Linked DNA regions of Bombyx mori. The protein of the gene in region 4 purifies or fractionates together with the protein of the main gene of each other region. This does not show direct contact. Links are inferred from orthologs where the notes say so. Each region holds a gene or a part of one and is shown on either strand. Other genes may lie near its edges.

Region 1 (7,383 bases), on a different chromosome or scaffold from region 4:
TACCTATCCATCCATAAATCTTAACAAATTTCATATAAATAATAAAATTATAATTTGGATCTGAAATGAAGAAACATTAAAAGTAGATATTATAATATTTCGACAGTCCTAGCCTCCAAAAAAAAATGGCAAAGTTCATTCACATCAGCAAAACTTGTTTGCTTGGTTTTGCCAATAGTGATTTAATAAGACTAAATTGCTTTATAGAACGTAAATTACCATAACTTTGATGAAAAAAACACTACTAAGAAAGTAAAATCCACTTATTTATTTACACTAAACTTCCGGAGCACGTAGTTACCACAAATTTAGCAGATGCATTTAGCAACCGCCAAAAATGACAATTCTTTCAAATCTGGGTTGTCAAATCAAAATAATCAAGATGTCGCCAATCAAATGTTCAAAAGTAGTTCATTGCAAATGTTATAGAACATAAAGTTTTGACAAAGGTACCTTTTAAGTCGGGTCATGGCAAATTTAACAATCTTTGACAAAGTCGCCAGGTTTCACGGTATTTTGAAGATGGCATAAAATAAATTTGGCTGATTATCAAACTTAAATTGGTTTTTTTTTTTTATTGCTTAGATGAGTGGACGAGCTCACAGCCCACCTGGTATTAAGTGGTTACTGGAGCCCATAGACATCTACAACGTAAATGCGCCACCGACCTTGAGATATAAGTTCTAAGGTCTCAGTATAGTTACAACGGCTACCCCACCCTTCCGCTTTTTGATCTTATTGATCCTTATTGATCTTTTCCGTGTACTTTTTCCACATAGTAGTAGGTACAAAGTGAAACAAAAATATAGCTTGTTTATTGACTTGTATTATTTTATCACTTTAGTATTGAAGACTTACCATAACCGGTAGATAACGACAGTAAGATAACAGCTAGTTTCCTGTCCACAATTATCATGTACAGTTATTCAGTTTGTGGTGGACATTTGGTAGTATACCTTCATCATTTAAACATGCATTACATATTACTGACTGAGCTAGAAACTGTTGGATACACTTCTTGTAAAATTCAGGTAGCTTGTAACCACTAGTATACTATTAGATACGTATGTCCTCTCGACTAAAGTGGCAATAAGCAACAAAGTATATGTGTTCAAGTGCATTTAAGTATACCTACCTTATTATAGGTAATAAATATTTTCATCACCAGTCCAAATTATTCAAAAAAGTGAAATTTTCTATTTTAAGACATGTGCACCACAGGAGAACGTCTGTCGAGTCGAGTAATTGTATATATCAAACTAAAATTATTGTTTTATGTAAATCTAAAAGTACTAATAGTTTTTCTCATCCAATTAATAATACATCACATGCGTCAATTCTTTATTGCGACTTATAATAACGTACCTGCCTCTTATAGGTCTGCAATAGTGCTATTTAAAATGCTTACAAGTATGTAGCCAGTTTAAATTCCTCCCTGGCGATTGTGTGTAATGGCCAATAGCTTCCACAATAATTCGTTTTCTCTTTTTGTAAATCACAGGGTTTAAATGCAAATGAATTAGAATTACTAAAGACGAATTTAATACGACATGACATAAAATTCCTTCAAAACCAGAATTTTCACGAGATCGAAGCGTTGGGTGTACGCATGTTAAATCTGTTGGCTGAAAATGACTTTAAGTGAGTATATATAAACTATAAGGAACACATCTTGAAGTAACTTCGTCAAAGGTAGCTTAAAAAAGTTTATTATCTTATCTTATACCATCTCCTTGAGACTAAAAAGTCTGATGGTATAAGATAACAAGGATGCGATGCAGTGTGAAATATCTAGTTCCAATTTAAGAGCTTAAGAATTCTTTTTTTTTCTTCAAGTTTGTAGGTCTAAATAAAATATTTATATTTACTAAATTCACGCTCGTAATTATAACTATCTTTACCTATATATAATTCTACTGTACGTGTGTATGTCACTGAACTCCGCCTGGACCGATTTGAATGAATTTCTATTCGTTTGGGTGGCGCCCTGGATGGTTTAGATTCACAAATCAACCCCGCAGATGGCGCTGCAGTCGGTATCTAGGTTATTTCTCTTTCCTAAAAACCCAAAAATTTAATGGCAAAACAACCTTTGCTGGGTCAACTAATATTTCATATATGTGTACCTATTATATATTTATAGTTAAAAAAATAGAACACTGATAGCCATGCAGATCTATTATTCTTACCAAAGTAAAATAGGGGTAGTGACGCAAGAAACGTTTGGAGAGAAAGTAATCCCTACTGTCGAAACGGGTTCCGATTTTTAAAGATAATGCTATAATTTATAATTATAATATAAATTCTCGTCATCGCGAGATACATGAATCTGCTCGTCTATATATTGGCGCGTCTAACGTAGCCGACTGAAGAAACATTTAGATACCTACGCTTCTATTTTAGACACTATCCATAACTTTACAAAATAAGTTAAAAATATTGGAAAACAGCGTTCTCTGAGTGTTAAACAACCGTATTGCGATTGGTAATTGATATAAATTGGTTTATATTGACGTAATGTACAATCGCATTCTGAGTGTTTCTATCGCGTAGCTGTCCTGCATTCTAGTTTGAAGTGTGGACCAGCAGTACCAAAATGGGCCCTTAGACCTTTTGTCACCGACCGGGTGGTGATATTCACGTTGTGATGTCTTTGGGCTCAGGTAACTACTTAACGCTAAATTGACTGTAAGCACACACTCGTAGCGAATTGGATAATACCCTCTAAATCGGGCAAGATTTTTACCGCAGATAAATCGGTCTGTGTACAAATTTAACCATAATCCTATTGCAGTTACAGAGTATTGACTCAATCAATGGTAATAGAAGAATCTAAGATTGGTGGAAGAAATGTACAACTACAAAAAATTGTTTGGACTATGTACAAAGAATGAAAATTGAAACAGTATTAATAAATTGTATTTAACAACATATAAGAAAAATAAACTAATTTCTTTTCTCTATACTCATTTCGCTTTGGCAATCACTCGGCACCCGATCAGTAAAAAGTTCTGGTATCTATTCAACAAAAGAAAGTTACATGTTAATACATGAAAACTACAAGTGTCTATCGAAAATATATACATAAGAGTTTATTCCATACTTGTGGTGTATACGCTTCAACTCTATCCAGCAAAGAATCTGTGTAGCCGGGAGTATAATATCTGAAAATGAAAAATGTATAAAAGCCCACAGTTGAGATTTGAGTAGGACAAATTTTCTTTTAGTAGGTAGTCTTTTACCTTACTATTTCTTCAGGGAAGCAACTGTTTATGATATTAATATACTCCTTCAGGGACGTTCCGGGCACTGTTTCAATTTCTTGTATTCTTTTCAATGCTCCTGTTGTAACAAAAAGCCTTCTAGCTCTTGCATCGTTGGGTAGAATCTGAAAAAATAAAACGAACATAAATAATCTACTTCCTTATACTTTCATTATAATTTGTATAATAATTTCTGAACTGAACAGTTTTTCAGAAATTATGAAACTCCATGAAATTTAAATGGTACTTGCAAAAGACCCTAATAAGAAAAACATACACATTTCTTGGATTTAGCCTGCAAGAGAATGATTCGCACGTATATTTTGTTCTAATAAATGATGAACCTCATTACGAATTACTACGGTAATTGGTTCACGTTCTTCAAATGATGAAGGCAATATACATAGGCTTATTTCATGTCATCTCTAGTTTATTCTTATTTCACGCCATAGTCAATTTCAAATTATCAATAATTCTCATACTGCTGCATTTTACGTTTTGAAAAATAAATAAAGCCACGATTTTTTTTAACGTTGGCTGTATGAGCTACGTCTCTATTACCTGATTTATGAAAGAATTAAACGAAAAAACATCCGATTCAAAACAATAACAAATGAGTAGGGTACGTAGATACCATAGATTATACACTTAATATATTTGAGATAGGTAGATACCATCTGGAGTTTCAAATTTAAATAGATTAACTATCACCAAATTGTTTTCTGATCAAAAAATCGATTACAGTTACAATGGCAGGTAGAGGACGAGGACGCGGGGGTAGCGGTTTATCATTAACTACTGAGCAAATACAAGCCTTAGGTGTGACACGCGGCGACAATGCTCCTCCAACACTTGTGCCGCCACCACTGTTTCCAAAACTTGAGAAAAAACCACTACCTCTTATATGTGATGCCGCCACTGACTATATGCTCATTGTCAAAGATCAGTTCATTGAATATCTACACGAATCACCGGCATTTGTTAAAGTCAAAACAGAGACTGACGGTGTAGAGCGATATTCTGATAAGTACAAAATGTTAGCACTTGATGCGAAGCAGAATAAGTTATTGGATTGCGTGTGGGTTAACATGCCTACCGAATTACGGCCTCAAGCAAAACGTCCGCGTACTGTTCCGAGGAAAAGAAAACTCGATGATCCCGAAGAGATAGCAAAGAGATTACAAACGCTTGAAAAAAAAGAGACTCTGGAAACAGATGAGGCGATAGACGGCAAAAAAAAAGAATTAAACAACGAAAACGTAGATGAAGAAGAGGAGCTGGAAGATGAACATGAGCAAGAATACGAACTAGATGATGGTACTGACTATGCAAATAACTATTTTGATAACGGGGAAGATTATGAAGAAGAAGATGATAATTTGGATGATGGACCTGTTTACTAGGAAATATATATATACAAATTTATATTACACAGTTGAAACTGATTGATCTTGCATATTAAAAATAATTACAATTAACTGTTAATCAAATAGTTTTCACTTTTAATTTTTACTTTCAAATATTCTTTATTAGCAATTTGAAAAACAGTCCCGCCTGGTAGAACTCTTTAAAAAATAGAAATAAATGAATATTTCAGCGAAAGAAGTTTACTACTTAAGTAACTGCTACATCATATTTAAACGAATCAATCGTTAATCAATCGAAAAATCAATCATTACTGATTACTGGAGCACTGTTTCATTTGAAATAGTGTATTATTGTTATATTTGCCTAACTAGAATAATTACCTTTGCATACTGAGCTAGTACATATTTCAATATACAAGCAGGTGCAGAATGTAACAATGTCTCTAATGCAGGTCTATGTAGACAGCATTGTAATGCCTGTTTCAATGCACATGATGTCCGAGCTTGTACTTCTCCTGAAGACTTTGGGTTTGTGTAAAGCTGTAAAATTAAACTAACGATGTTTAATTTAAATATAATTTAAATATACTTTAAATATTGACATCTATCTACGTATATAAATGAAAAGATTATAAATGTGCTATTTGCACATGTATCAGACAAGTATTAAAGACTGATGACAATAATATAGTAATTTTATTACTTTGGCTTAATATTGTGATCAGAATTAGTACATCGAATAAAAAAAAAACGTTATGTCAATTTTAATTCTGCTTGCTGTTAATTTTTAAACCACAAATACTTTTACATCTAAACTAATCTAAAGTAAGAATGAGGTCAACCTAACTTGTAACAGTCTAGGTAGAGCATTGGCCACAGCAACAGCCAGACTGTGTTGTGGTGAGTGTTTTGCGATGTGGCCTAATGTCCAAGTAGCTGCACACAACTCTGCATCTTCTGCATCTTTCTTTTGTAGAATTTCAACAAGTGGTGTAATGGCCTAAAATTGATAGATACATTTTTTTTATTTATAAAACCAGAAAAGGCAACACAACAGGTCACAATTTGTGATGATTGATAACTTAAATAGTGTAGTGAAAAAACTTAATAAGATTATTTATTTCATATTTTTTTTTAAATTCAATGTTTCATAAATTGACTAATAGTCTCAGTATTACCAGTTTTCACTCATAAATATATATAATAAGTTATGTTTATGGCATCGACATAGGTATAAGCCGTGACGGATTTAGGCTTGATGGCGCCCTAGGCCCTGTTTATCGCGCCGCCCTCAATGTTTGAATAAATTTTATTAATTTTGATTCAATATTTTCATTTTAAATTTAAATTATCTTTATTTCCTTAAAATATAATTTTTGAATATCATCATCATCATCAGCCTTTATCTGCCCACTGCTAGACATAGGCCTTCTCCAATGCCTTCCACAGCATGCGGTTCTCCGCCTTCCGCATCCAATGACTTCCCGCTGTGCGCACTAAGTCGTCGGTCCACCTGGTTGGAGGACGCCCCACGCTCCTGGTACCCATCCGTGGCCTCCATTCGAGGACTTTCCTCCCCCACCTGGCGTCGTTGGTTCAACAGACGTGACCGGTGACCGGAGACGTGAAATTAAGTTTAAAAGGTATAATATATATAAAAGGTATAATATAAATATTAATATTTTATTGAGTTGTGTCAAACACAAATGTAAACTTTATTCACCTTCGATTCTATAACTGCCATTGCGAGCTGATCTGATTGCCCTGCAATAAATCCTAGTGCCATACAAGCTGGGACTCTTGATCCACCCGTACTCTCTTTTAATAGTTCGACCAAAGGACCACATCCACCAGTGTTCACTACTAGCTGAGCCAACTAAATAAATTGCAAATATTTCATAGTTAGGTATTAGTAAGATTATGGATTATTTCTTTCTGTTTTGATTTTATAACAAATAACTGACTAATCGAACGTAATGCTATGTTTTTTTTACCCAATTATTTAACAAATAACAAGTTTAGTAAATAGGAATTAAAGTAAAATAGTTTGCTTTCGAATCTCTTCTTTCCGTGAATAACATTTGTGATCACTTCATACGCGCTGATCATGTTGCTCTTAAACATTATTTCGTTCACAACAGTATCATGCGCTGCTCGGAACCTACCTTAGAAGCTATTTACACTAAAACTCTACCGATATCAATTCATCGCAAAAAAAACCTGATAAATTACTAATATAACTTAATCGTCGAATTCACGTGGGATCGGTATTAACACTGCATTACGATTACCTAGCAATAAATTTATATAAAACCACTAGCTGAACCGGCAAGGCAGACTTCGTAGTTCCTCAATCGACAAATAAAACACCTAAACTTTTGCATAAAATAAACTTAAAACAAACAAAAGGAATCCGTCCGACGTCCGATTTTCATGTTTATCTACCTTTTAAACCTCTGAACTTCCACAAATAATTCAAGACCAAAATTAAGCAAATCGGTCCAGCCGTTCTCGAGTTTTAGCGACTAACGAACAGCAATTCATTTATATACATATAGATATAGACTCTCACATCGACCGAATGCTTGACAATGTCCCTCAGTAGACAGGCTGCGGCACGCCTGACTGGCGCTGCGTCATGGCCGGCGTGCAAGAGGGCGGCGGGCAGTGCACCACCAGCCACTACTGCTTCAGCCAGCTCAGACCGTGCGCTGGCCACTGCACTCAGTGCGCATAGTATACTACGCTGCATT
Region 2 (8,120 bases), on a different chromosome or scaffold from region 4:
ATAATCGGACCAATGAAGTCTTCCCCCATCAACGTACTTCAGGTCGAATGTGCAGAACCCCCCTTGCACTTAAGGAGACAGTACTTATCGGACAGATTCATTTGCCAAAAATTTCAGCTTTCCAACCACCCCCTTATTTAAAAGTTACATACTCTTTCGGAACACATCTATTTCAACAGTTACTGGAATCATAAGTCCCACCCATGCCTCTTCACCAGTTTTGTTAGGTTTATCAGCCTCCCCTGTCCGTCTATCAATGTAGGTTAAATCCTTTATTCCTCACACCTTATAATGCAATTCTATACCGCCCGAACATTGTTCTAAATATCGGAATAAACAAAGATGACCCCGGTGCAAACGCCAAATTTAACTCTGTCGTCAATAGTAAGTGAAATGGTTGGCATACTATGTTCACTGACTCATCAAAAATAAAAGCTGACGGCTGTGTAGGCTTCGCTGTCTGGATACCGGAGTACTAAATCATTTTAAGCTTTAAGTGTTCCCCTCAAGCCTCGGTTTTTACAGAAGAGGCGCTAGCTATCCTTGAAGCCCTGATGTATATAGAATCACATAAGCTACACAACACGGTGATATTCACTGACTCTAGAAGCTGCCTACAGGCTATCCTTGCAAACCAACTCAGATCCAAGTCAAATTCCCTTTTGTTCTGAAAATCAAAGAAATTCTTTTTCGGTGTCACGTGTCTGGCATAAAAGTCACCCTAACTTGGATCCCGGGACATAGCGGTATAGTGGGTAATGAGGGTGCTGATCAGTGTACTAAGGATGCCACGACAATAGGTAGTGATACTCATTACCCAACCTATGCACAAGATCTAACGTCTCTAGCTAAGGCCGATCTCATATCGTGCTGAAATGAAGCGTGGAACCTTTCGAACGCATTAGAGGTAAACATTACGCGGATGTTCAAGACTCGTTGCTCGTTCGGCCTTGGTTTTTTAAATATAGGAAAGCCAACAAGAGAGTCACGTCCACAATATGTAGGTTAAGACTAGGTCATGCTTGTGCCCCGGTTCACCTAGCTAAAATAAGGGTCAAGGATAGTTCCCTCTGTGAATGTGGGCTCGACGAGGGATCAGCAGAACACATTTTCTTTAACTGCCCTAGAAGACCTTCCCTTTACGAAGTGCTACCGGACACTATCCCCAGACCGACAAATTTCAAATCTTTGTTGAGCCTTGTACATACACCTTATCTAAATATTTTATGCGAATATGTTCACCAGAATAACATTAGACTATAAGTTGTTTGTCCTTACTAACCTTCTAACAATCATTTTTGTTATATATGTATGATGCCTATAAAATCAAAGGCAGCTAAATCCAAGTCTGTCAAATATTCAGGTAAACTACAAAAATGGGCCCTAAACACGTCATTACGGATCCTCCCGATCCATCGAAGTACTGCTCTTGCTAGGGCCAGTGTTAGCAACACTCCCGGTTTGAGAAGCTGAAATAACTTTGTTCGGATAGCTACGATATTCTTTATTTTACAGCACATTTATAAAGAATGAGAATATTACTAATAATCTGAATTTTAAATGATAAAACTTCGTTTATTATTACTTAGTACAGAGTAATAATAAAATTTTGGAACTGAATTTGTTAGAGATTTAGCTGCATTTGTTATAACATGAAAACACTAAGGCGTGTCCAACTAACTAAACAAGATAACGCCATTGTAAATCCATTTTACGACATTAAGGCATTTAGCTGCCTTTGATTTGATAGGCCTCATATATTGTTTGTCCTGTTTTAGGTAAGTAATTCAACAGTTGATTACTTTGTAAAATAATAATAATTAAAATTTATGTGACCTTGTGCAATCACGAAGCCTATAAAAGAACAAACAAGAGTACAAACCACACCAAAAGACATCTGGGCACAACCAAAACCACAGACTATAAAACTGGATTTTGGCAAAGTCAAAAAGGATTGAATTTCAATTATAAAAGAAATTGATAATTGAAGTGTGTGACGAGCTGATAATGAGCAATAATGAAATGTGGATTGGCCGTAACAAGTAAAAAGCAATTAAAACAAGTCTCATAACAATAAAATTTTTGTAACTAGTCTTAACCTACTCTAGTTTTTTTTGGTACATGAAAAAATCACTCTTATTTAGTTTATATAGTTTCAAGGCTTTAACGATTCAGAATATTAATAAGCTGACAAAAACCTGCACCCACGCACTCGTATACAAACCTCAATTGATGCAGATTATAAAAGAAGCAAACAGCAGGTCATTTTTCAAATGTTAGAGCTTACAATAATTTTGGCTATTAAATATACAGTAGAGATAGAATTTCTTCACAAATAGACAGAAGGAACCAATGTCCTAGGCTTTGAGACTTTGACCAGTTAAAATAAATACTGTGTTAAACTTTCCATTGACAATGGGAGGCATGTAAATCAAGAGCCTTTGTGCGGTGATTAATATAGGTATGAAAGAAAAACTCTAATATCTTAAAAAATTTATGTCAATTATAGATTTTTATTTTTAATTGTGTTTTTTAAAAAATATTTCATTATTTTTCTAATGGGGAATAATTCAAGAGTTTTTCAATGAGATCCACGTGTCCGAGCAACATTCTTCTGCAGCAGTATCTTTTCAATCCAAGGACATCCAAAGCATCACTGAAAGTAAAAAAATACAATTAAATATTAACATTCACATAGTAAATCTACTGTATACAGTACGCTTAACTGACTTCGATGATTACCAGTAATCTATCACTATCAAGAGAATCTTATGCCTATAAACACATTAAAAAAGGTATAAGAATACTCAAAGCTAACAAGCATTAACAATCTTATTTCATTGCTGCAGTTGGTAGTAATGATTATATCAACTCGGGCCACTTTTTACATAGCTTACTTGTCTAGTAGGATATCATCTTACATTTATCACTTATATGCTTCCGTTTCCTCACACTCAAACTGGATATTGCAAAACAGTCCAGAGATTAATCTGGTGTCAAGATCTACCATCATTACCACCTCATTCCCGATCCTGCGGACAGAATGGAAAGCAGTCGACGTCGCCCTAAACACGTCATCTCGGATCCTCCTGATCCACTAACGGTGCTTTTAGGTACTTCAAGCACCGGTCACCGTTCTCGTCGAACCCGTCGCTTGCGACGAAGGGCTCGACGAGTAAATTAATTCTCAGACACAGCCCACTGAGTTTCTCGCCGGATCTTCTCAGTGGGTCGCGTTTCCGATCCGGTGGTAGATTCTGCGAAGCACGACTCTTGCTAGGGTTCGTGTTAGCAACATCGTCAGGTTTGAGCCCCGTGAGCTCACCTACTAAAGTTAAGGCTACGCTGAAATAGCCGCTAGGGCTATCAGCTTAGGTAGGAAAAAAAAAAAAAAAAAAAAAAAAAAAAAATTACCACCTTGTGACCTATGGATTATGATAACCACTTTAAGATAGGTGGGCTGTAAGTATGAGTTGGCAAATAAGAAAAACCCAAGTTAACAGGAATCACCTACATATTCCGTCATTTGAATTCATAAGAACATTAATATTGTTTCTGGGAGGAGCTGTTTTATCTTTCTTGCTGAATTTTTATCAAATAACTACATTATATTATGTATGTCAGTTATTTCCATTTTAAAGTTCTAGAATATTGGTAAGTATAAAAACCAGTTGCAAAACTTAAATTGTACAGTACCCTTCTGTGTAATCCGCCTGTAGCAGGCCTAAGTAAGCTTCCCATTTGTTTCCTATAACCTTCCCGCATGTGAAACATCGTACTGGAATAATCATTTTGTTTATTTCCTACAACCTAAAGTTGTGGTGAGGCACTGGGGTTATAAAGTATCAATGCTTTAACTATTTATTTGGTTTATAAAACGTATTTACTTTTAATAATAATAGAAGATATTTTAGTTACAAAGTATCATTAAATTTAATGAGAAAACACTGTAATTCTATTCTTTACAATTCACAATAATATTATTTTACTTCGAGATAAAAACTTTTTAGACTCGCAACGACAGTCATAGATTACATATTGTATTGTCTATGACTTATGATTAAAGATGACAGTGTCACAAGAAAATATGATATTTTTGTTTGTCGATTTCAATCGGCAAAAGGAATGTAGTCTATAGAACCAAATTTTAATGTTTTATTTTTAAAACATTTTAAAACATTGAATGAATGTTCATTTCATTTGAATGGTACATAATTATTTTTTAAATTTCCAAACTGACTTTTAGTGGTTGGATTTTAGAGAGTAAGATATGCTCCTTTTTAACGTTTGAGTGAAATTGATTGACGCATATTTGGAGCAGTCTACTTATTATTAGAATATTTTAATAAGTAATCAAGAAATTTTCTAAGCCAGTCTCTTAAAAAATGTGAAATGTATGGTTTTCTCTATTATTTCAGGTTAAAATGACTTTATCCCTGCAGCAACATATCAGTATTGATGACAGTCAAATGGTACGTAGCATTTCATTTGTGATCATCGGCAAATTTTCAATGTAAATAAATCAAGTTAAAACAACCATTCATTCCGTACATTAAGGCATGGGAGAGCATATCGAATTTGTGAAATCTCAAAAGTCCAAAGTTAATTATTTTATTTTGTAAATTTAATATTTCATCAGATCTACATGTGTAATGAGAGTGAATTGTGAACCGTTTGGAATATGTGAAAATGCAAAAGTTTGGGAAAATGAAAGACGAACGTCAGTCATAGCTTCTCGTATTCTTCCAAAATATGCATTAGGCTGTCAGTTGCTTAATAATAAGTTACTGCGATATTTATTTAATTTCATGTAATTCAAGTCCTATGATGTTGTTGTTGTTAAGTATATTTCATTTTCTCCTTCAGTGTTATCTGCTTCGTCTCAATATAGGAATCGACTCATTGCAATGCTGCGCTGCATAAAAATATGTTCTAAATACATTTCCAGCTGCTTTACTCCATTTTCTCATACTTGTGTACTATAACAAATGTTTTACGGTTAATAAACCATTATTTTAAGCTTTAAAGTCTGAAGAAACCCTAAATTAACTACAACGTACAATTTCCATTCGGTCTCATACAATTATTCAGTTTATTCGTTCCAGTTCACCTTTGACTGATGATTGGCTTCAGCTTAAATTACAAAACATTTTACTGTATGCGTCCCATTTCCTTTGCCTGTACTATATGAACGAATCAATAAAAATGATATTTTGACAATTGACATTAGATTATTAAAAGAAATACAACAAACAAGGGGGTTTTGTAATTTTTTGGTGATAATTTTTCTTACTTTTCTGTTGTATTTTGAATTATTTACAATTTCAAAGGTCTGGCCTTAGCGTTAATTCGGATATAATAGTGAAAAATATCTGACAGTGCAGTTATCAGGCAATTTTGCAGTATGAAATTTTAAATTTATTTTTAATTTCATGAACAAAAGCCTTGTTCTCAATTGAAATACAAGAATTCATTAAGATTATTTTAATAAGTATAAAAAAAAATGTCTTAATATGATTTCATTTCTGTAATGAAATTTAAATTTATTAGTCTACTAGATAAATTAAAAAAACAAACAATATATTACAAAGTAGTGCGATTATTGAAATAAAAAAAATGGATTCAGATGATGATATTCAACCTTTGATACATTATAAGGGAAATAGCTCTCGAGAACCACTGTATTTAGAACTTACAACACAGTTAATCAACATTGACCCTGATTTTGAACAGGTAAGGACTAGTTTTATCCTTAATAGATCAAAAACACTGAATTACTGATGATTTTTAATCAAATTAATTCATATATACATACAAAAAATCTGCTGTTCTATTTGAAAAGGTTCGTGTGGTGGGTGGTTTTGCTTAGTGAGTCATGTAAAAACAGTTCTGACTTCCAGGATGAATTAGCCAATGGCCTAATTCTGATGAAACTTGTGTTTTACTGCATTAGGAAGTGACCTTGGTGATAAAGAGGTGCCAAATGTGAAACCACAGGTTTTTTTTGTGGGCTTTGGGCTGAAGCTGTGGGACTTAATGATCTGCAGATGTTGTGAACAGACTGTGGTCCCAAAGATGTTTTTATGAAGGACTTTTATCCTGCTGGGTCAGAACCAGCCTGCTGGGTTAAAATGTGTTACGGTCTGGGTTGGTCTTCCACAGTATATTCGGTGACGACAGCTACGACCGCAATGTGGATGGCAATGCAGATCCCAGCTGATGACGTGCGGTACCCTGCAGGCGAATTCATAGGGGGTCTCTCCTTCCTCAGCAAAACAAGTCTCCCTGTCTTGCTTGCTCCACAGCTTAGGAAGCTGCCCCGATTCAAGGCAGGCTTCAATGAGCTGCACAAGCCGCTCCCCAAGGGTCTAAAGTTCCCCAAGGGAAGTCCAAATCCTAGCCCCGCCGTGAACAACGTCAGGGCAAGGGGTCGTGTCCTTGCCCCATAACCTCGGCACGGTTGCACGAATCTCCTCCTCCGAGATGCTTGGAGGGACCACCTCAGCAGGGGCGTCACCGGTCACGTCACCGCGTGGCGGCGCGCCCATGGGACCCCTCCCAAGTATGCCCATGTGTGGGAACAGCCCGCAGCTGTCCAAGCTGCTTCGTCACCGGGAGCGCCCACAGCCGCAATTTCTTGCGTTGGTTTGGTACGGGTGCCCCAGAGATCCTGATCGAGCGTCTCTAGATACATCTTCATGCTGTGAGACGTGGCTTTGCATCGCATCGCAGTATCGCAGACGCGATGCATCGTACCTCGGAACCAGTTGGCCGCCGACTCCAAGTCAACTAGGCACGCGGCGCCCACACGATTACTGTGGCCGCCTTCACCGCGAGCACCTTGTTTAGGTGCTTCAGTGCCCATCGCGGGAAAGAGCTACGCGGGAGCTCCTTCCTCGCTGCGGGCATCTTCGGTCGGGGCGTTTAACGAGGTGGAAGCGAAGAGCTCGTATCGGACGCACCGATGGTTCGAGAGCGTCTCTGCCCCCTCGAGGACGCGCCAGCCACAGACACGTTGCGCGGCGGACGGAGACGCGAATGACACGTCTACATGTGAGTCCCGCACGCAGGTCGCGACCGAACTCCTGTTCAGAAGATAGAGGCCAAAAAACCACATGACTTGCCTACCCATTCATGTCAAAAAATGTTGTTACTGTGTGAAATTAGGTATAAAATATGAAAAAAAAAAATTACAAGATAATCTACGCTTTTTGAAATTACGTCATGAAATTTAAATCCTTATACTATGAATTATATACATAATTAAAAAAAATGTATTGTGTAAAACAAAATACTGATATGAGAACAATAGAGAAACTTATCAATTCATATCGACGCTTGAAAGGCAAACATGACTAAGCGACAAAAGTAGGTAAAATGAGTTAGATACACCATTGGAATCGTCTGATTTTTCTGCGTCGTTTAGTATAGGTTTCATCACTCTGTGACGTGTTTTATGTCGCTTAGATATGGTGTGATTTTCATAAAAATGCAGAGTTTTTTCCTACCAAACGACAAAAAAAAAGTTATTTTAGAGACATCCTGCAGTTAGGACATTTTAATAATAAGGTATTATTCACTTAGTCAGTTATTCATGTTTTTAAATTTTCATTTGTTTGTATTTATTTATTTTTACTTGTTATGAAATTATTCTTTGAAACCACTTAGTAGATTGTACCTATACAAAGTAGTCGTAATTGGTACAGCTATACAATTTAACCTGAAACAAAATGGAATACTATTGAATCTTAGATAGTTTTACTTGTTTAACATAATATCCCTTTCCATCCGTAAATATTTTTACATGACAACATTTCTAATAACTACGTCGCCTAGATAATTTTACTTGATTAATTGCAATGGTTACTTTTGGCGCTTAGTTATGTTTACCCGTAAACAAAATATTTTTTTTTGTCGCTAAGGAACTGCGCAACTTTAAATACGTCGCGTGGGTATGCGCAACTAGTCGCGTACCACGTTTTGGCGGGCTGGCAAAATGTGACATTCGTAAGCTGGGCGTCGCTTAGTAAAATCGTTTGTCACATTATTTTGCATTTTGTTCCCATGAGGGAGATGTGAACCACCAAATAAGACCAAAGAAACGACTAGATTCCGTAAAA
Region 3 (8,570 bases), on a different chromosome or scaffold from region 4:
ATAGAGTACAGTGGAGTTAAGAACTATTTGCATTACTTTGTTGATACATATTCTGTAACATCATTGCGTTCATGACATTTGCATTAGGCAAATCGCTAGCCCTCTTGCTTTCATGGCTGTTTCCATCTCTTCGGCGGCCACCATTGCTTTCTTTCAAAGGCGATCTAGACCTATGCCTTCGATGTCCTAAAACAAAGTCGTTGGAAATTAAGTACTATTTTTTATTTGAGACAATGAAGATAAATAGATTAAAAAAACTTACCTTGCATTGTGTATAGCTACGAAAGTATCATATATATTATCTAAATATTTACTATACAGATGCACGATGTTGTTTACATTCCACAATGAGTAGAAGCAAATTACTTATAACATAGATTAAACACTTAATATACGGTACCGTAAAATGGGGCGATTAGGGACAAATTCCAACTTTATGTGCAATTTTAAGGTAGTTGTTGATGTATATAATGCTATATCAGGATCAAAATGATTGAGTCTTGGGGGCATCTTTGTTGTCCAATTTAAAACTATGCAACTAGCATTCCAGTTTAAGCAAAAAATGCAAAAATAGGTGTAATCCCTATTTACCCAGAAATTGCGGTTAATTGGGACGAAATGAGAAATTTGCTAGGGTTGGCACTACTAGGTTTTAATTTATTTATTTATTTAGTTGCAACAACAAAGTGATCATCAATAAAAATAATTTAAAAACTGACAAAAGTACATGGCAGATGTCACCTCAATTATAGGTGCAATCGACAGTGCATTAACATAAATGGGCTTTCTTAGAAACGGTTTATATTTCTTCGTTCTTGATAAGTATTTAGGGGCTGATATTTTTATCTGGGTTAAGAGATTAGGTGTGTCGGTTATTCCATGGATTAATCAGATGAATACCCCCACTCTAAACAAATATTAAATATTTTATTATGTATTACTTAGACATTTTTGTCCACCTTGAGATTTCATTGTTCTTGTTACATGTCCGTGAAAAATCGACTTACTTATATTAAATTACTTATCTATTTCAACTAAAGACTTATTCCCAATTTCATAGGCTTCTACTGCTGTTTTTAATATTAAAGGATCATATCTCATAAAAGGCTTTGCACTCTTTGATACGTACACGCGAGGCATATCTAAAAATAGAAAACAATATGTAGCTGATAATATAAATATTTACCAAACAATAAAATAACACATTGATAATTTTGAATAAAAGTTCTAGACAAAGACATCATGATTAAACCAGATTTTTACCAACAAATTTAAAAAATATTGTTATAACTACATAGACAACCCTACAAACCTGTACCTATTTATACTTAGGTCGTTTCCATTTCACGTATTCTTATCCCAATTGACCCCTTTTTCGTTGTTATTTGTACCTAAGACGTCCCCAATATCCCCAAAAACAACAGATTTTTACATGTATTTTTATTTTATCAAATACATTAAAACCAATAACAACTGAGACTCACATTTAATATATATGCTGGTTCAAACACTAAATAAAGTTTATAAATCACAGTCGTCTTCTATTATTATCAAATAAATAAAAGAGAGCAAAGTTTCTAGCACTAAAATAATTACCACCACAGGAAGTTAATTTGAAACGCGATTTTTTATAAGTTAGCAGCTATTATCATGCATATTCAGAGTTGTTTTGTGAACTTTCAACATTCTGCTATTAAACTACAAGAAATGTAAGATTTTGCAACGAATATAAAACTTATATTGAGCGTCGAAAGATTTTCCCGGTTTTTTCCCGATTCGCCTCTCAATCCCTAATCGCCCTATTTTACCGGTACTTAATGCTAAATTAATTTTTCAATTGCATGATAAAAACAATACGTAAATTTTATTTTATTTTATGACCTGGTAACATAGACCTTTACGTCAAATATTTCAAATAAAAACAATATTTTAGTTTTTTTTAATGAATTTTACGACTTGGTAACTAAGACCTTTAAGAAATGTCTTATTTTAATTTATATTCTTATTTTTATGAAAAATGTTAATATGGAGTGAAATGGAATGAAACGAAATGAGATGAGATGATATGGGATGAATTTCATCTCAGTAAAATGGTGGTACATAATTTACTGAGATTTTTTCAGTCGACTTTTTGGAGGATTCTGAGAAGTTACGTCCAGCGGCTTTAATTCATTTTCCCACATTTGTGCATTTTCACAGATATTAAACAGTTAATAAACCACCGTCATTACACATTTAACGAAACACTAAATAAACAAAATAAAACAAATCACACAATTGCACTCCTCGTGGTCCCGCCAAAGGGTCTTCTTTCTCTCATGGAGTTAATAGGTACTAACCATAGATTATACTTATTATTTGATAGGTACTAACTCTATGCTTTCTCTACAGAATCAGCCTCAAATTTTATTATTAAGTGTATTACGGCTGTCCAATTTCAAAACCTAGTATCTGACAAATTTAAAAAAAAGTGTGTTTTTGCATTTTTCGACCTTGTAGACCATTCTCCACATATTAGGATAGCAAAAACCCCCAAAAATTTGTAAAAAACGAAGTTACACAAAGTCGGAAACCTAGTATCTACAGTAAAGGTTTTCAAAATGCAAAAATTACAAGATTAGAACATAGTATATAACATCAACCATTTTAAAAACCTAATAAGTGCTTGTAGTTACTTGGATTTAAAATGGTTCATGCAGATACTAAGGCAATGAAATGGTTGAAATAAACGTCAAAACTCCCGCGAAACTTTAGTAAGTGAGAAAATCGTTGCACGTTGTTCGTGTTTTTGTCTATAAAATGAGTAAAAATCAGTTTTATAGGTCGAAATTGATCTTGAATGCTTTAAAAGAACAACATGGTGAAATGTAAGTACGCTTCAGTGTGTTTTATTATTGTCAAGGTTTTTTGTTTTCCAAAATTGCAACCTACTACGACACATAAAGTAAATGAAGGTGCAAATATTCCAGAGGATGTTAAAACTGCATACGGGGATCACAAAGCTAGAGCAAGTAAAGCAATACAAAAGTATCAAGAAGATGCCTCCCTAGAAAATACTTCCTCTGTGAGATACTATTCGATGGATTTACAAAAAGTTATGTTGTTACCCGACATGCCTAAAGTCAAAGAATCGTTTTTCTTGAGTAGAATGATAACTTTCAACTTGACATTTGCACCAATCAGAAAGAAAACGAATGTTAATAATATTTGTATTCTATGGCATGAAGCCTGTTCTGGACGAGATGCTCATGACATTGTTAATGCAATTGCAGCAATGATCGAAAAAGAAAGAGATTTTAATCATTTGATATTGTGGTGTGATAATTGCAGAGCTCAAAATAAAAATTGGATCCTCTTTACATCACTTGTTACTATAATAATCTCTGGGTTTTTCAATTTAAAAAGTTGGACTTTGTAATACCTACCTAACTAAAGATCACACAAGCATGTCGCTGATGGAGTTCATGGCAATATGGAGAGGCAGATTAAAAACAAAAGATGCTGTGTACGATTTTGAAGACTATAAGAATGTAATTTTGGGTTGCAAATCGCATATTGAAGTTATCGAATTCGAAAAATCGTATGAGTGGGTAAAAAAGAAACGCATACCGCGACGCAATGATGACCTTGTTCCCATTAATAATTTTTTGCTTAGTTCTTTGGTTGAAATAATATTTGTAAATGGGTGCCGTAATATGTTTTGAATGATTTTTAATCTCCGTATTCCGAGTTGAATTCTCTTATTAAAAACACAATCTCTTGATCATGCCAACCTTAAAAAATATTCCAAGAGGCATTAACGAAAGTAATAAGGAAGGCATAGTAACAACTTTATTTAGCTTAAAGAAGTTTTGGAGAAGAAGTCTTGGCAAAGTGTACCGATTAATAATAATCCAGTTAATTTAGTTTCTAGTGGACAAATATTAATAACCGAATAATTTATTTTTATTTGACTGTTTTCAAATATTTTGAGTGATTATTTTTTGATTTTTTACTGTGAACAAATAGTGTTTGGTTTCCGATTATGTGTTTTTTTTTTCTTTTTCATTAAAACTGCTTATTTCTGCCCATATTTATGTTGTTTTATTCTGTTTTTTCTTACTATGTTTAAAAAATTGCATTTAGTTCCTACTCAGTAAATTCAGACCTAAATGAAAACAAAGCAAGTGATCTTACTAAGTCTATTAATTTGCGTTTATCCCCACTCATTATATTTTAGAATTAGATGAAAACAAAGCAAGTGATCTTACTAGGTTTTGAAATTGTCACACTCAAAAAGTTTGATCTAAGAAAACAATCTTTTTATTAGTAACTGCTCCTCTACGCACATCTTTTGTGATAGACGCATGAAATCTACTTTTTTATAAAGCCTGTTATGCACCTCAAATTTTGCAATCACTCTCAAGAAGGTACGACTAATATTATTGAAACGGCACGCTGTCAAAGATATGAAATTGTTTTTCGGCTCTCCTGTAAAATTTAGTTTTATGCAGATACTGGGTTTTGATATTTCACAGCCGATTAGTATCGACGCTTGAAAGGCAAACGTGACTAGGTGACAATGCAATGACAATGCGTGAACTTTACAGTAGACTAAAGTTAAAGTTGGAATACCTGAAAAAAATCTATTTTAACGAATCTAGCTGTAGTAGAATCTAGCTAGTAGCTGTAGGATTGAAATGATTTTAATAGACCTAGAAATATATAGTTTTTGCGCCTCGAATATGGTTATTGCCTATCATTTATGTACAAAGCAGTTATTGTCGCTTAGTCACGTTTGCCTTTCAAGCGTCGATATGGAATGAAACATTGGAAGGTGGACTTAAAAAACTCGTACCCATGCCTTCAATTCTTAAAAAAAAAAGCAAAATAGTAAACAGAGCAGACCATAAAATCTTCAAAAACCGAAGTTTTAAATAGAATTTAATAGTAACATATTTATCAAATAAACCAATGTTTGTATTAGCTGAAATGAAAGATGTTATTCGAGTTAATCCAGAATACTTTCGTCAAAGTCTAACTGATTCTATAACAACTTTACTCAACAGAAAGTTAGCTAATAAGGTTCATAAATCATAACTATCCAAATTAATTTAACCGAATTAGTTTATCTAATTGTATTTATTATTAGTTGTATATTGTATAATATATATGTTATTAAATATGTATTTTCAGGTTGTGTTAGAAGTAGGTTTATGTATTGTACTGTTTGACATAACCAATGTTGGACACTCGTACATATTCCCTGGAGACGGTTCATCTCACACAGAGGTGAAATTTAGATATATCGTGTTTCGACCTATTATTGAAGAGATACTTATAGGAAAAATAAGGAGCTGCAGTAGAGAAGGCGTGCACGGTAATTTATCAGTCATAAAATTACATGTATACTCAATAATGAGACCCAAATGTAAATAAATCATGATTATAATTACTATTTAAAATTTTCAGTGACATTAGGCTTTTTCGATGATATATTAATACCAGTAAATGCTCTTCAGCATCCGTCTAGATTTGACGAAACCGATCAAGCATGGGTATGGGAATATCCTAAGGAAGATGGAGAAAAACATGATTTGTTCATGGACTCGGGTGTGTATTATCAAACTCCAATTAATTAATATACATTTAATAATTTTTAATAAATAAGTTAAAATTTTAAATATATGTTAATATCTATTAAAGTACACTTGCTGAGTGAAACACAATGTGTTGGTGTCGTAGTCTGGTCCCAGCATTAGCATTGCTACCTTTGTATTGTTTAGAAATGCCACAGATGGGTTTTCTATAATAAAGATTCCCGCAGGCAGGTGCCAATGCTTCTAATGAAATACGTACTTAACAAATGTTCACGAATGACGTCCACAATGATGGAATAATATTGGGTGATAAAAACCAAACTTGCAAAATTATAATTTGTATAATTAGGTAGTAGGACATCTTATGAGTCCACATGGGTGGACTCCACCACCAGCTGCCTATTTCTGTGTCAACCAGTAGTGTTTGGTTTTAAGGATGGAGCATGTGTTGCACTGTAAAAACGGAGACCATAGAACTTATGTCCCAGGGTGGGTGGCTGCATTTAAATTTTAGATGTCTATGTGCTTCAGTAACTACTTAATGCCAGGTGGGCCATGTGATTGTCCACTCATTTAAGCAAAATAAAATATGCCAAAACACAGGTTAGCACTGTTGACTAACAAAACTTAATAAAATGGGTATTTGTTTAGAAGACAATGCCAATAATAAAAGCACCTAAAAAACTACATTGGTGGATTGACACAATCTAGATGTAAATTATAATAACTACACAAATATTATGCCTTATCATCACTACAAAGATTCTTTTTACTGTTAACATTGAAAATCTGTACTTTTAATAATAAAACAAATTACAGGTGAATCAATAAGATTTCGAGTGACAAGTGAGTTTTTTGAAGAGAGCTTACCAACAGGTCCTCCAGGAACAGATTGTACAGTACAAACGGTAGCACCTTATAGACTGATTGGAGGAATAAATGAACCAGGACTTGGACTTTTAACCTGGTGGGAGACACCAGATCAAGAGGGTGAAGAGGATGAAATAGATGATGAATAAAATATTCAGCTTCTATTGTTATTTTTTTATTTGTACTATGTTTGGGGAAACGGTTTGTTAAACTTCTCTGAATGTCTCCAAAGGAAGCTAATCATAAAAGGCACATGGCAAGTCCATCTATCAGGAGATTGAAATTGTGAGCTACTGAGAATATACAGGGAAACTAAGAGGGTTTAGTTGCTGATTAAATTATTTTTTTAGTTTCGATGGGTGGACACACTCATAGCCCTAGTATTAAGTGGTTACTGGAGCCCATAGACATCTACAACGTAAATGTGCCACCCACCTTGAAATATAAGTTCTAAGTCCCCAGTATAGTTACAACAGCTGCCCCTCCCTTCAAACCGAAATACATTACTGCTTTACGGAAGAAATAGGCTGGGTGGTGGTACCTACACGTGCGGACTCACAAAGGCCCTGCCACCAGTAATTACGCAAATTATAATTTTGCGTGTAATATACTAAAGATGGGTTCAAATTCAAGTGACGTCTATAGGTTCTGGTAACCCCTAAAGATTGGAATGAGCCATCTGGAACTAATCATAAGAGTCAGTTGATAATAACTGTATGTAGACTTCCACTTTATTCAAGGAGGACGTTGATTATTGTCTGCTTAAGATTCGCTATTAATTCAAGAATTATAACCTCATTAAAACGTTAAAGTAAATTAAAAAGTAAAATATAATTTGCAACAATATTTATTTAACATGATTATATAATAATACATAGTGATTATATTCCATTATTTTATTATAATTTTAAAATAATAAGTAAATGCCAATCTTAACTTAAGAATTCGGCGTTATAAGTAGATACTATGCCATAGTAACCTTGTCGAAAAAAAACCTAAAATCACAGTGTTTTGACCTGGGTCTAAATCCTTTAATGCACCAAATTACAAAAAGTTATGGGTCAGGCATATGTAACCAACTAATGATACTTTTTGATGAGATCACTCAGTTCAAAAAGGAATAAAATAAAATCTAGAATAGTTAAAATTACTTTTACACTATCACTTTCTACAATATTAAAATCACCTTGCAAAATAAATAACAATGTGTTACAAAAAAAACCGGTTTGATCCTTTTCTGCTAGCTATACAGGGTATAGGTACTGTATACACTTAAGCATTATGTAAGTTAAGCTTGTGCAGTTTTGCCTGTACATGGGATTTTTTTGAATATTAGTGGAATTGTATGAAAATTTGCTATATTTGTCAGAATATGCTTGTGTAGATAAAATGTACTGGTAAAACTAAGTGTTTGTCACCAGCACTGGTCTTAAGTTTCTAGTGATTAGTAATAAATAATAATAGTACTATATAAGTCATTATTGAGCGCATCCAATACTGCTACGGTGGCATTATTTAGCTGAGAACTTTGACGGACAGTTGGTAAAAGTCTTTCTACGAAAGGATAATAATAATTAGCATTGTAAATTGGATTTCGTCACGTTTAAGATGACGGATTGGCCTGCGCTTTTTAATTTCAAATTTGTTAAATTCTACACGCAATTCTACCTTTTTTTCTGACTTGACTTTTAATAGTTCTACAAAGATTTCACAGATGTTAAAGTCACAGCTCATTAGAGCCACCCGGTACTCACTCCGCGGGCCTAATGGCGGGTGGACCATTCGGCGACAACTCGCTGCTATGCCTAAGTATGCCTAAGTATGCGACTTGCCTTACGATGACTGCGCATTGTCAATGCTGGCCACAAAAAATTCACACGAGAACGACACCAATAGTTAAACTGACTATAACTGGAAAATTCGTTGAACAAGCGACGCCCAGTCGTTAACCACATGGCGGCCACACGTGGACCACTTATCGACCACGTTTGGACGCCGCGCGACGAGGCGGTGGGGAGTGGGTGCCGGGTGACTCTAATGAGCTGCGACCTTTAATGGGCAAGATTTAATTATACTCGATACTACCACTTTCATTTTCACTGCCAATAAATTTTCTGACAG
Region 4 (8,648 bases):
GTCACATGAGACACCTGCATGTTGACCTCCACAGTTATAACATATTGGAGTCTTAGAACGACATTGTACTTTGGTATGACCATAACGACAGCATTTATAGCATTGTATTGTAGGAAAAATATATATCTCTACTGGAAGAGCATTATAGCACATAAAAATCCGTTTTGGTAAAACTTGCCCATCAAACGTTATTACAACGGATTCAGAGGGTTTCCAAGAAACCGAGTCATTAATTTTCACCTTGCGATTCAAACGTCTTATTTTAAGTATTTTGCCGCAGCCTATAGGAACGGATACATTTCGTTGAACTTCGTCTACACTCCAATCTACAGGGACCCCACGAACTAGCCCCATTCTTGTTATGTTGAAAGTCGGAATGAAGGCTTTTAACTTTTTCGTTTCCAAAAGATTGCAGTTAAGAAAGTTATTGGCGTCTTTATAATCGGAAAAGCCAACTACGCACCTATTTCTTCCTATACGCTTTACACTACCGGGAATAATATTTTCAAATTTGTTCTGCTTTAAAAAATTGCCGAAAGTTATAGGATGGAGAACGGTCCCGTCATCAGGTGAACTTTGTATACGTTGAACGTGTATCAAATAAGGGGAAACATCAGTAAGAACATATTCAGTCCGGCCGATCCAACGGGAGTCTGTATTGGTTACTGTAGTTTTCGTGTTATTTGAATTTCCCGCGTTAGAGTCTTGAGAGATATTTGAATTTCCCGCGTTAGAGTCTTGAGAGATATTTGAATTTTCCGTATAAGATGTTGATGGTTGAGAGGACGTTTTATGTGAGTTAATATTATTTTGCGAGTGTGAAGATGACGTCGATTGAGATATAGGTTTAGAACTTTTAGAAGTAATCTTTTTTATTAAAATTGACTCATCTTCCATATTGCATAAACTTTCGCACTGACAGTAATCACCGCTAGAACCACCTTTCTTATTTCTCCTTTTCGTACACTGCCGACAAAGGCGTAGATAACGTGTTCGTTTACGACTTCCTTCACCTGTCTGAGATGATAACGAACAATCCGTATCCATTTTATCAAATTCATCTTGTGAAACAACAGTTACATATGATCCCACGGGGAGATTCAGGCCAACATAGCCATCATCCCCCCGATCGAGATCGGGGGGCTCGTTCATACAATATTTACAAAAATTACAAAAACTTACCAACTATACGATGACACTATACACAAATATGATACAAAGATTACATATATTACAAAAACTTACACTACCAGCTTATCCTCCGCGTTTTAACTATAAAATTAAATTAAATTTTCACCACCGTGAAAAATACGTCTACCATAAACGAAGTTTCCCGCGCTTTTCTTTAATAACCTTAAACGCCTTCCAAACCTCTTTAATAACCTTAAACTCCTTCTCGACCTCTATAACCTTAAACTCCTTCTCGACCTCTATAACCTTCCTTTAACTCCTACTCGACTCTTTTACCTTTAACTCCTACTCGACTCTTTTACCTTTAAAATAAAAATAAAACCTTTCACAAATAAGGATAATTATAAAGCTTGGAGAAAGCTAATTAAATTATTGCTGGATACAAAGGGTTAGAGTCGAGAAGGAGTTAAGGGTTAGAGTCGAGAAAGCAGAGTAACGCAGTGGAAGCGTGCTGGGCCCATAACCTGTTGGATGGTTACATTTTAAGGGGTTGGGTTCTGTAGGTGATGAGGGACTATTTAAAAACACAACTGCTTCATTATAATTATATTGCAGATTGCTTGAACACTTTTAAACCATTATACAATTATTATCTTTATATTTTTTTACTTATTAAAACTATTACATGTTTGTCTTGCCGTGTCTAGATGAGAAGTTCTGACATTTTCTTACGAGAATACAATGATCTGTTTTTTTAAACATTTAAATTAATTCCAATATTCGAAATCTAATCAAGTGTCAAGTGTTGCCTGCCATTACATTTAATATACAAACTCCAACAATATATTTTTTTCCTAACGTTATATAACCAATCGAGCCATAAATACTGTTACAAAAAAAACTTCTTTTTTTCAACTATATAATGATTTTGAATTTGGAACACGTATATTATTTTAAAAACTTTGTGGCGTTTAAGTACGCACCTTTTTATGATGCGTAAGCCGGAACGCACGAGAGGTGGGAAACAGAATATAGTCTGTGACACGGGACCTTTTTTTTACCGCCAAATATTTAAAACGTAAAAACAATTTATAATGTGTAAAATAACTAATATAATATAATTAGCTAGAATTGTTTATGCCGCTACATCAATAAAATTTATATTGTTTCAACTGTGGTGTTAATTACATAAAACACGACTTTACGGCGAAAGAAAGACTCTATATGAACTCCCTCAACTTCTTTCGATTTTGCGCCATTTCACATATTTTTTCGTGTTCATTATCAAATTACAATATGGAATAGGGTGTTAAAGAAAATAGGTTTGCAGTAATCGCCTTACACAAAGTGGATATGGAGCCGTCGGTCATATTCCAGACACTTCAAAAGCTTGGTATCAGCCGTATGTTCGTAAATTGTACTATGAACAGATACAAAAACACTTTGTCTGTCGAAGACCAGAGAAGGTCGGGGCGGCCTCGTGGTGCTAGAGCTACAAAGGCTACTAATGCTGTTAAAGCCAGAATTCGTCGCAACAGCGAAAAATGATGATTCCCGCTAGGACTGTCGCAGATTATAAAACAAGACCTGAAGTTCAGTGCTTATCCTCGATGTACATAACATGACCTAAATCGATCTTTACAATTAAAGAGAGTGGATCGATCCAAACGTCTTGTGTGCAGGTGAATGGCACAGAAATATCCTCTTTACCAATAAAACAATTTTCACGATTGAAGAACACTACAATAAGCAAAGTGATAGTATAATTTAGGGTATGCACACCGTTCTGAAGAAGTGCTATAAAGAAGTGTTCTGCTCAAGTGATCAAAGGAACAACGTAGTCATAATCCTGCGTCAGTAATGATTTGGTGAGGCGTGTCTTATCAAAGAGTCACAAAACTACATTTTTGTGAAAAAGGAGTAAAAACTTCAGCCAAGGTGGCTGATTGAAATTAATTTTTTGGCGGGAACGCGAGGAGTGAAGTTGTGTGTATTGTTTTATTTTGTTTATTTAGTGTTTCTTCAGGCTTATTAACTGCTTAGTATCTGTGAAATTGCACAAATGTGGGAAAATGAAACAAAGCCGCTGAACGTAACTTCTCGGGATCCTCCAAAAAGTCCACTGAAAAAGTCTCAGTAAATGACCTCCATTTTACTGAGATTATATTTCATCCCATATCATCTCATCTCATTTCATTTAATTTCATCCCAGTTGATTAATGTCTCAAATTAATCATCTTTATTTCATTTCACTCCATAATATCATTTTTCATAAAAATATGAATATAAATTAAAATAAGACATGACTTAAAGGTCTTAGTTACCAGGTCATAAAATCCCTTAAAAAATATATATATTTGTTTAGCCCATAGAGTTACTATTCTAACTAAGGTACTTATTAACTCCATGGTTTAGCCCAAGCCCCAAAGCATATTCTAATAAATCTAATACACAAACGCTTAATATTTTCCAAAAATGAGTTCCGAAGATACAAAAGAGAAAATACTAAATCTTGCAAGAAAAAGCTCGAAAGGAATTACAGACAAGGATATAATTGCTGAAATACCTGGCATATCATCAGTAGAACTAGTAACTGCTTTAAATGATCTGCTGAAACAAGAACGTTTTGATTTATTTAATCAAAACGGATCTTTAATTTATAAGTACGTTAGCAAAATAATGAAGGTGTCTAAAGATATTAGCGTAACTAATAAATATAGTCTATTTATAGAATTTTTAGAGAAGAATTGGAAGATTTAGAGAAGAATTTTCAAAGAACTTGAAATAATATTAATAATAATAATATTATTAAATTTTATTCATTTTAGGTTGAAAACTCAAACAAATAAGCACGCAATCAAAGGAGCAGATAATGAAGAAAAGGTAGTCTATAATCTGATTGAAGAAGCAGGAAATAAAGGAATTTGGATTAGAGATATTAGGATCCGTTCGAATCTTGCAAACACTCAACTGACTAAAGTCCTCAAAAATTTGGAAAGTAAAAAAGTGATAAAAGCTGTGAAATGTGTTAATGTAAGTAAATTTAATTTTAAATCAACGAAGATCTATCTGATACTTAACTTACAATTTAAACCTGGTTAATTCACAGGCCTCTAAAAAGAAGGTTTATATGCTTTACAACTTGGAACCAGATAGATCATTGACAGGGGGAGCTTGGTACCAAGACCAAGACTTTGAATCCGAGTTTGTAGATGTCCTCAATGTACAATGCCACAGGTTCTTGAGTCAAAGAGCTGATAATATGAGAAACAATCCTAGGGGACCTGTTTTTGGACGAACACAAGCTTATGCTACTGCTACTGAAGTCCAAAAATATATTACTGATCTGGGAATTAGTAAAGTAAGATTTTACAAACATACACTAACTTTTTTTTTTTTTTTTATTGCTTAGATGGATAGACGAGCTCACAGCCCACCTGGTGTTAAGTGGTTACTGGAGCCCATAGATATCCACAACGTAAATGCGCCACCCACCTAGAGATACAAGTTCTAAGGTCTCAAGTATAGTAACGACGGCTGCCCCACCCTTCAAACCGAAACGCATTACTGCTTCACGGCAGAAACAGGCAGGGTGGTGGTACCCACCCGCGTGGACTCATAAGAGGTCCTACCACAATACACTAACTTGGTCAGCGAACATTTTAAAATACCATGTAGATTTAATTAATTAATGTTTCATTTATATCTACTTATATGATGTTTATTATTACATCAACGTTTTGTTAGTGTTACTTTTCTTTTACAGGTTGTATTAGATGTTGATGATGTAACAACAATTTTAAACACCCTAGTGTATGATGGGAAGGTAGAAAAAAGTGTGTTTCCCGATGGAAGTAATGTATATAGAGCTATAGAAACTCTTATACCATCTTCAGGCCTTGTTCAAGTGCCATGTGGAATATGCCCCTTGATTCAAAGATGTAATTCCTCAGGACTAATTACTCCACAAGTTTGTAATTATATGACTGAATGGTTGGAATAATTAAAAAAAAAATATAATTAATAACATTTTTAATACCTATTTAAATAAGTATCATTGATCTAGTTAAAAGAATATAAGCTTCCTCTACAAATTAAATTGTGACTAGAGACATTATACTTAAAAGCATTAAATAATATATTTCTGTTGAAAACACATACTATTTTAATTCTATTATAAGTTCAAAATTTTTGCTTTTAAAACAGATATTTGTAGAACATTACTTAACAATAGAATACTTAGTTACAATATGAATATTGTGTGCACATTTGAAAAACCAATACTTTTATAACTGTAGATAATTTTATATAGTTAAAATTACGTAACTTTTAACTGAGAAAAGTCTACTTTATAACTTGTCACACAGAAGGCTCCTGTTTTAAAGCAATTTATTGCAAATTAGTTATGGTCAACAACAATTTTGCAACAAATTATTTAACATTCTAGTGGTCATTTCAACATTTTAATGCAAGTACAATGTGTAATTTATACTGTAAAATCCTCAAAATAAACTTCTAAAATTATTCTCGATATTATGCAAAATACCAGAGAGTACAGCTGGCTCCCTCCTATTTCTTGTAAATTTATCTTCATCTCTTTCTTTCTCATATTCAGTATTATTTTTGGGGAAAAATGAGCTAAATGCGTCCATTTGTATATAATTCAACGACTGCAATATTAGGCCTTTATTTGGATAAGGTGTGGGACTAAGAGTTGGTGAATTGTGATTTATATGTTCAGGAACGTGATTATTTAGTGTGGCATCTGGTGGTGATCTCCCATTTGTACTATCTTTGTCAGAGGATGGGCTGTTTTTGGGTGCTTGATCTCCACCTATTAAAAATAGAAAATAAATTGATGATTGATATATTTACATTGTTCTTAGAATCAATACTAAGAAAAAATTTATCAGCAAGCTTTGTCACCAGTTTAAATATTTCCATGCCATAGTGTGTGATATTGATAATATTACAATTTCTGAGATGATAAAATAATTAGAACCTGTACACCACATGATATCAAGCAATAAATATGCATGACAGACTCAAGTACCAACCATACTCATAAATTGAGTTTTAGCGCCAGTCAGAAGCAACAAAACAAATTGCAAACCAACAGTTCGAATTAGTTGGAACTATGTTAACTTAGTGATAAGCAAAAAGTAAAGATTTAACTCTTACTGCTGCCCTTGGGAAGCATTACAGTGTCTGAGAAATATGTATGCTAACACCATCATAAATCAGTATCTTTGAATAAATTAAAAGAACAGGTTACAAATATATGAAAGATTCTATCTATAAAGTACTTTATATTATATTTTTCCTAAATCGAGAATAATAAAATTGGCAGTATAAATTATTTTGCAAATGTTTTGTATGATTTTACATCTCTATGTACTGGTGTTTATAGAAAATAGAAAATAAAAAATGGTCCAATTTGTTTGTGAAGCACATGTCCATATTGATTATGTAGACATTAAAAATCAACAAATAACAACAATGAACCTTCTATTAAGATATATTTAAACAAAATTATTATTTTTCCACAACAGTGGCTTAATGATAGTTTTAGCTGGTCTATAACTGATCTATGGGTGAAGACTAGGCTTTTATAACCACATTTCCAATTACAGTTCATTTGAACATCAGATTTATAGACATAGCAACATGCAAAAAAGGCAGTTTGGTAAATATTTTCAACCAACTATATAACTTGTTCATAAATAAATAAATTTTACTCATATTTATACAGTGTATAAACCCGACCCATAATAACACTATTATCATTTTAAGTTCAAAGTCTTCATTCAAACCTTATAATGTTAAGAAAAGACCAAAAAGACCATATTATATAATGTAAATGGTTCCAAAAAAATTTACAGGTGCAACAGAATTAGTTTTATTTACTAACAACATACCAATAGAATGAATAAGCCTTTCCATTTCTCGGAGTTGTGTCTGTTGTTTTTGCACAGTAAAATACAAATCTGTGATAGTACTTGTGATGTGTTTCATCTCCTCTTCACGCTTGGCTTCTTTGGCTGCTTCTTTTTTACTTTGCCTAAAAATAGTCAAAATACAATTTCGAGACATCTTTTAAATTTACCTTTTATACTGTGAAAACATACCTATTGTACTCGATCACTAAAAGGCTAGCACCAATTACGAATATAACCGTTTCGCCAAGAAGATTTGCTCCAAGTTCAATGGCCATTTCCTGGCTTAAAACAGGAATATTGACAGGTTTTCCCAAATTTAAAATCCACATTTTGGCTTTAACTTCACACCAATTGTAAACTGTGAAAAAAAGTACATGAGAAAGGTTTGTTTCGCTTATGTATAAAAATGATTTTATATGGAAACGTGAAAAGCATTATTACTTACATTGCGCTGGAGGCATACAAACATAAGTTCTGAAAAATGGATTATTCTTGGCTCTCTCCTTGCACACGTTCGCGATTGGTTTACTTATCTGTTTCACCAACAAAACAGATAATTTAGCTATTGGAAACGCCCCTACAACCATATTGTATGGGTTATTCAAAATAAATACAATAAATCCAAAAATTCGGTTTAGTCCTTCACAATGGTTTACAGAATCTCAATTATTTATTCCCAGGGTTCGTAAAATCGTCGTAAAGTTTTGGACATTTGATAAATTTGACAGTTAACTTATTGACAGTTTTTCTTCGGCATTAAACAATACATCCTTGTTCACTTATCCCCAAGAGTAACACATTTTAGGCTGGCCCCAATATTTATTATTATATTTTATCTATTAGTTTCAATCTATTATTTATATACAAAAAGCTGATTTCCACTCACCCTTTACAAGTTCGAAATTACCAGGCCGATGATTTTAAATTTGACATACATATTTTTGCGACACAGACGCTCAGTAGGAACAGATTTTATGTAAATCCTATTCTGATTGGGTTTTACGTACCTAAGCTTCGCAAAATTGCCATAATAAATTGGCAATTTCGGGGTCGTAAAACGATCCAGATTCTGCAAAACACTACTCTTTTTAGGCCCAATGTTAGTAAACTCTCTCAGGTTGAGCCCGTGAGCTTATCTACCAGTCCGTGAGTAACTGGAATAACTCCCCCATCTATTAGGTAGAGAAAAAATCCCCGAAAAACGCACCATGCTTAGTTATTTCTGTGAGTTAAGCTTCAAGGCAAATCTATCACTATATATGTATATTCATATATTCATTGAACAAAAGTAATAAAATGGAACGGGAAACCTAATATCATTTGCAATTTTTAGGATTTTTTTGTTCGTGTTATGTTTATTTGTGCTCGTCTCCGAAAGTACTGGACCGGGAATCCATTTACGGATACCCGGTCGAGGGGAGCATTGGACCGGGTTATGTTGGCCTCAGCGCCTTAAGAGAGGAAGAGGGAGACGAGGAGGGCCAAGGTCCTCCTCCAATTTCTCGCAGGAGAATACGCCTTGAAAAAGGCGCGCGAGGCACTCGCCCAGCAAAACTAACTAACGACTTTAACCACATC

What was found.
Region 1: the proteins of DNA-directed RNA polymerase III subunit RPC6 (region 4) and DNA-directed RNA polymerase III subunit RPC7-like purify together in Homo sapiens (co-immunoprecipitation; 5 studies listed by BioGRID and IntAct, counting the BioPlex papers as one, with this or other methods). This does not show direct contact. The link is inferred for Bombyx mori from reciprocal best matches to the Homo sapiens genes POLR3F and POLR3GL.
Region 2: the proteins of DNA-directed RNA polymerase III subunit RPC6 (region 4) and DNA-directed RNA polymerases I, II, and III subunit RPABC5 purify together in Homo sapiens (co-immunoprecipitation; 3 studies listed by BioGRID and IntAct, with this or other methods). This does not show direct contact. The link is inferred for Bombyx mori from reciprocal best matches to the Homo sapiens genes POLR3F and POLR2L.
Region 3: the proteins of DNA-directed RNA polymerase III subunit RPC6 (region 4) and DNA-directed RNA polymerase III subunit RPC8 purify together in Homo sapiens (affinity purification with mass spectrometry; 4 studies listed by BioGRID and IntAct, with this or other methods). This does not show direct contact. The link is inferred for Bombyx mori from reciprocal best matches to the Homo sapiens genes POLR3F and POLR3H.

Annotation. Positions count from the first base shown.
Region 1 is NC_085117.1:13,526,395-13,533,777, forward strand, and holds DNA-directed RNA polymerase III subunit RPC7-like, read left to right. Parts: upstream 1-3,731; 5' UTR 3,732-3,885; exon of another isoform or gene 3,886-4,007; 5' UTR 4,008-4,012; coding exon 4,013-4,666; 3' UTR 4,667-4,753; downstream 4,754-7,383. Other genes in the region: uncharacterized protein LOC105842656, read left to right, coding at 915-1,031, 1,502-1,641, 2,795-2,894; sperm-associated antigen 6, read right to left, coding at 2,947-3,018, 3,104-3,164, 3,243-3,388, 5,012-5,170, 5,478-5,630, 6,354-6,506, 7,203-7,376. UniProt on the Homo sapiens protein: DNA-dependent RNA polymerase catalyzes the transcription of DNA into RNA using the four ribonucleoside triphosphates as substrates. Specific peripheric component of RNA polymerase III which synthesizes small RNAs, such as 5S rRNA and tRNAs.
Region 2 is NC_085133.1:5,482,184-5,490,303, reverse strand, and holds DNA-directed RNA polymerases I, II, and III subunit RPABC5, read right to left. Parts: upstream 4,069-8,120; 5' UTR 3,792-4,068; coding exon 3,697-3,791; intron 2,657-3,696; coding exon 2,548-2,656; 3' UTR 2,482-2,547; downstream 1-2,481. Other genes in the region: polyamine-transporting ATPase 13A3, read left to right, coding at 5,617-5,733. UniProt on the Homo sapiens protein: DNA-dependent RNA polymerase catalyzes the transcription of DNA into RNA using the four ribonucleoside triphosphates as substrates.
Region 3 is NC_085117.1:13,230,830-13,239,399, reverse strand, and holds DNA-directed RNA polymerase III subunit RPC8, read left to right. Parts: upstream 1-4,529; 5' UTR 4,530-4,953; coding exon 4,954-5,064; intron 5,065-5,175; coding exon 5,176-5,359; intron 5,360-5,451; coding exon 5,452-5,592; intron 5,593-6,398; coding exon 6,399-6,598; 3' UTR 6,599-6,613; downstream 6,614-8,570. Other genes in the region: ecto-NOX disulfide-thiol exchanger 2, read right to left, coding at 37-186, 263-269.
Region 4 is NC_085131.1:5,843,172-5,851,819, reverse strand, and holds the start of DNA-directed RNA polymerase III subunit RPC6, read left to right. Parts: upstream 1-3,500; 5' UTR 3,501-3,606; coding exon 3,607-3,794; intron 3,795-3,959; coding exon 3,960-4,164; intron 4,165-4,240; coding exon 4,241-4,492; intron 4,493-4,897; coding exon 4,898-5,134; 3' UTR 5,135-5,633; coding exon of another isoform or gene 5,634-5,965; 3' UTR 5,966-7,049; coding exon of another isoform or gene 7,050-7,192; 3' UTR 7,193-7,259; coding exon of another isoform or gene 7,260-7,428; 3' UTR 7,429-7,515; coding exon of another isoform or gene 7,516-7,657; 3' UTR 7,658-8,648. Other genes in the region: putative OPA3-like protein CG13603, read right to left, coding at 5,634-5,965, 7,050-7,192, 7,260-7,428, 7,516-7,657. UniProt on the Homo sapiens protein: DNA-dependent RNA polymerase catalyzes the transcription of DNA into RNA using the four ribonucleoside triphosphates as substrates.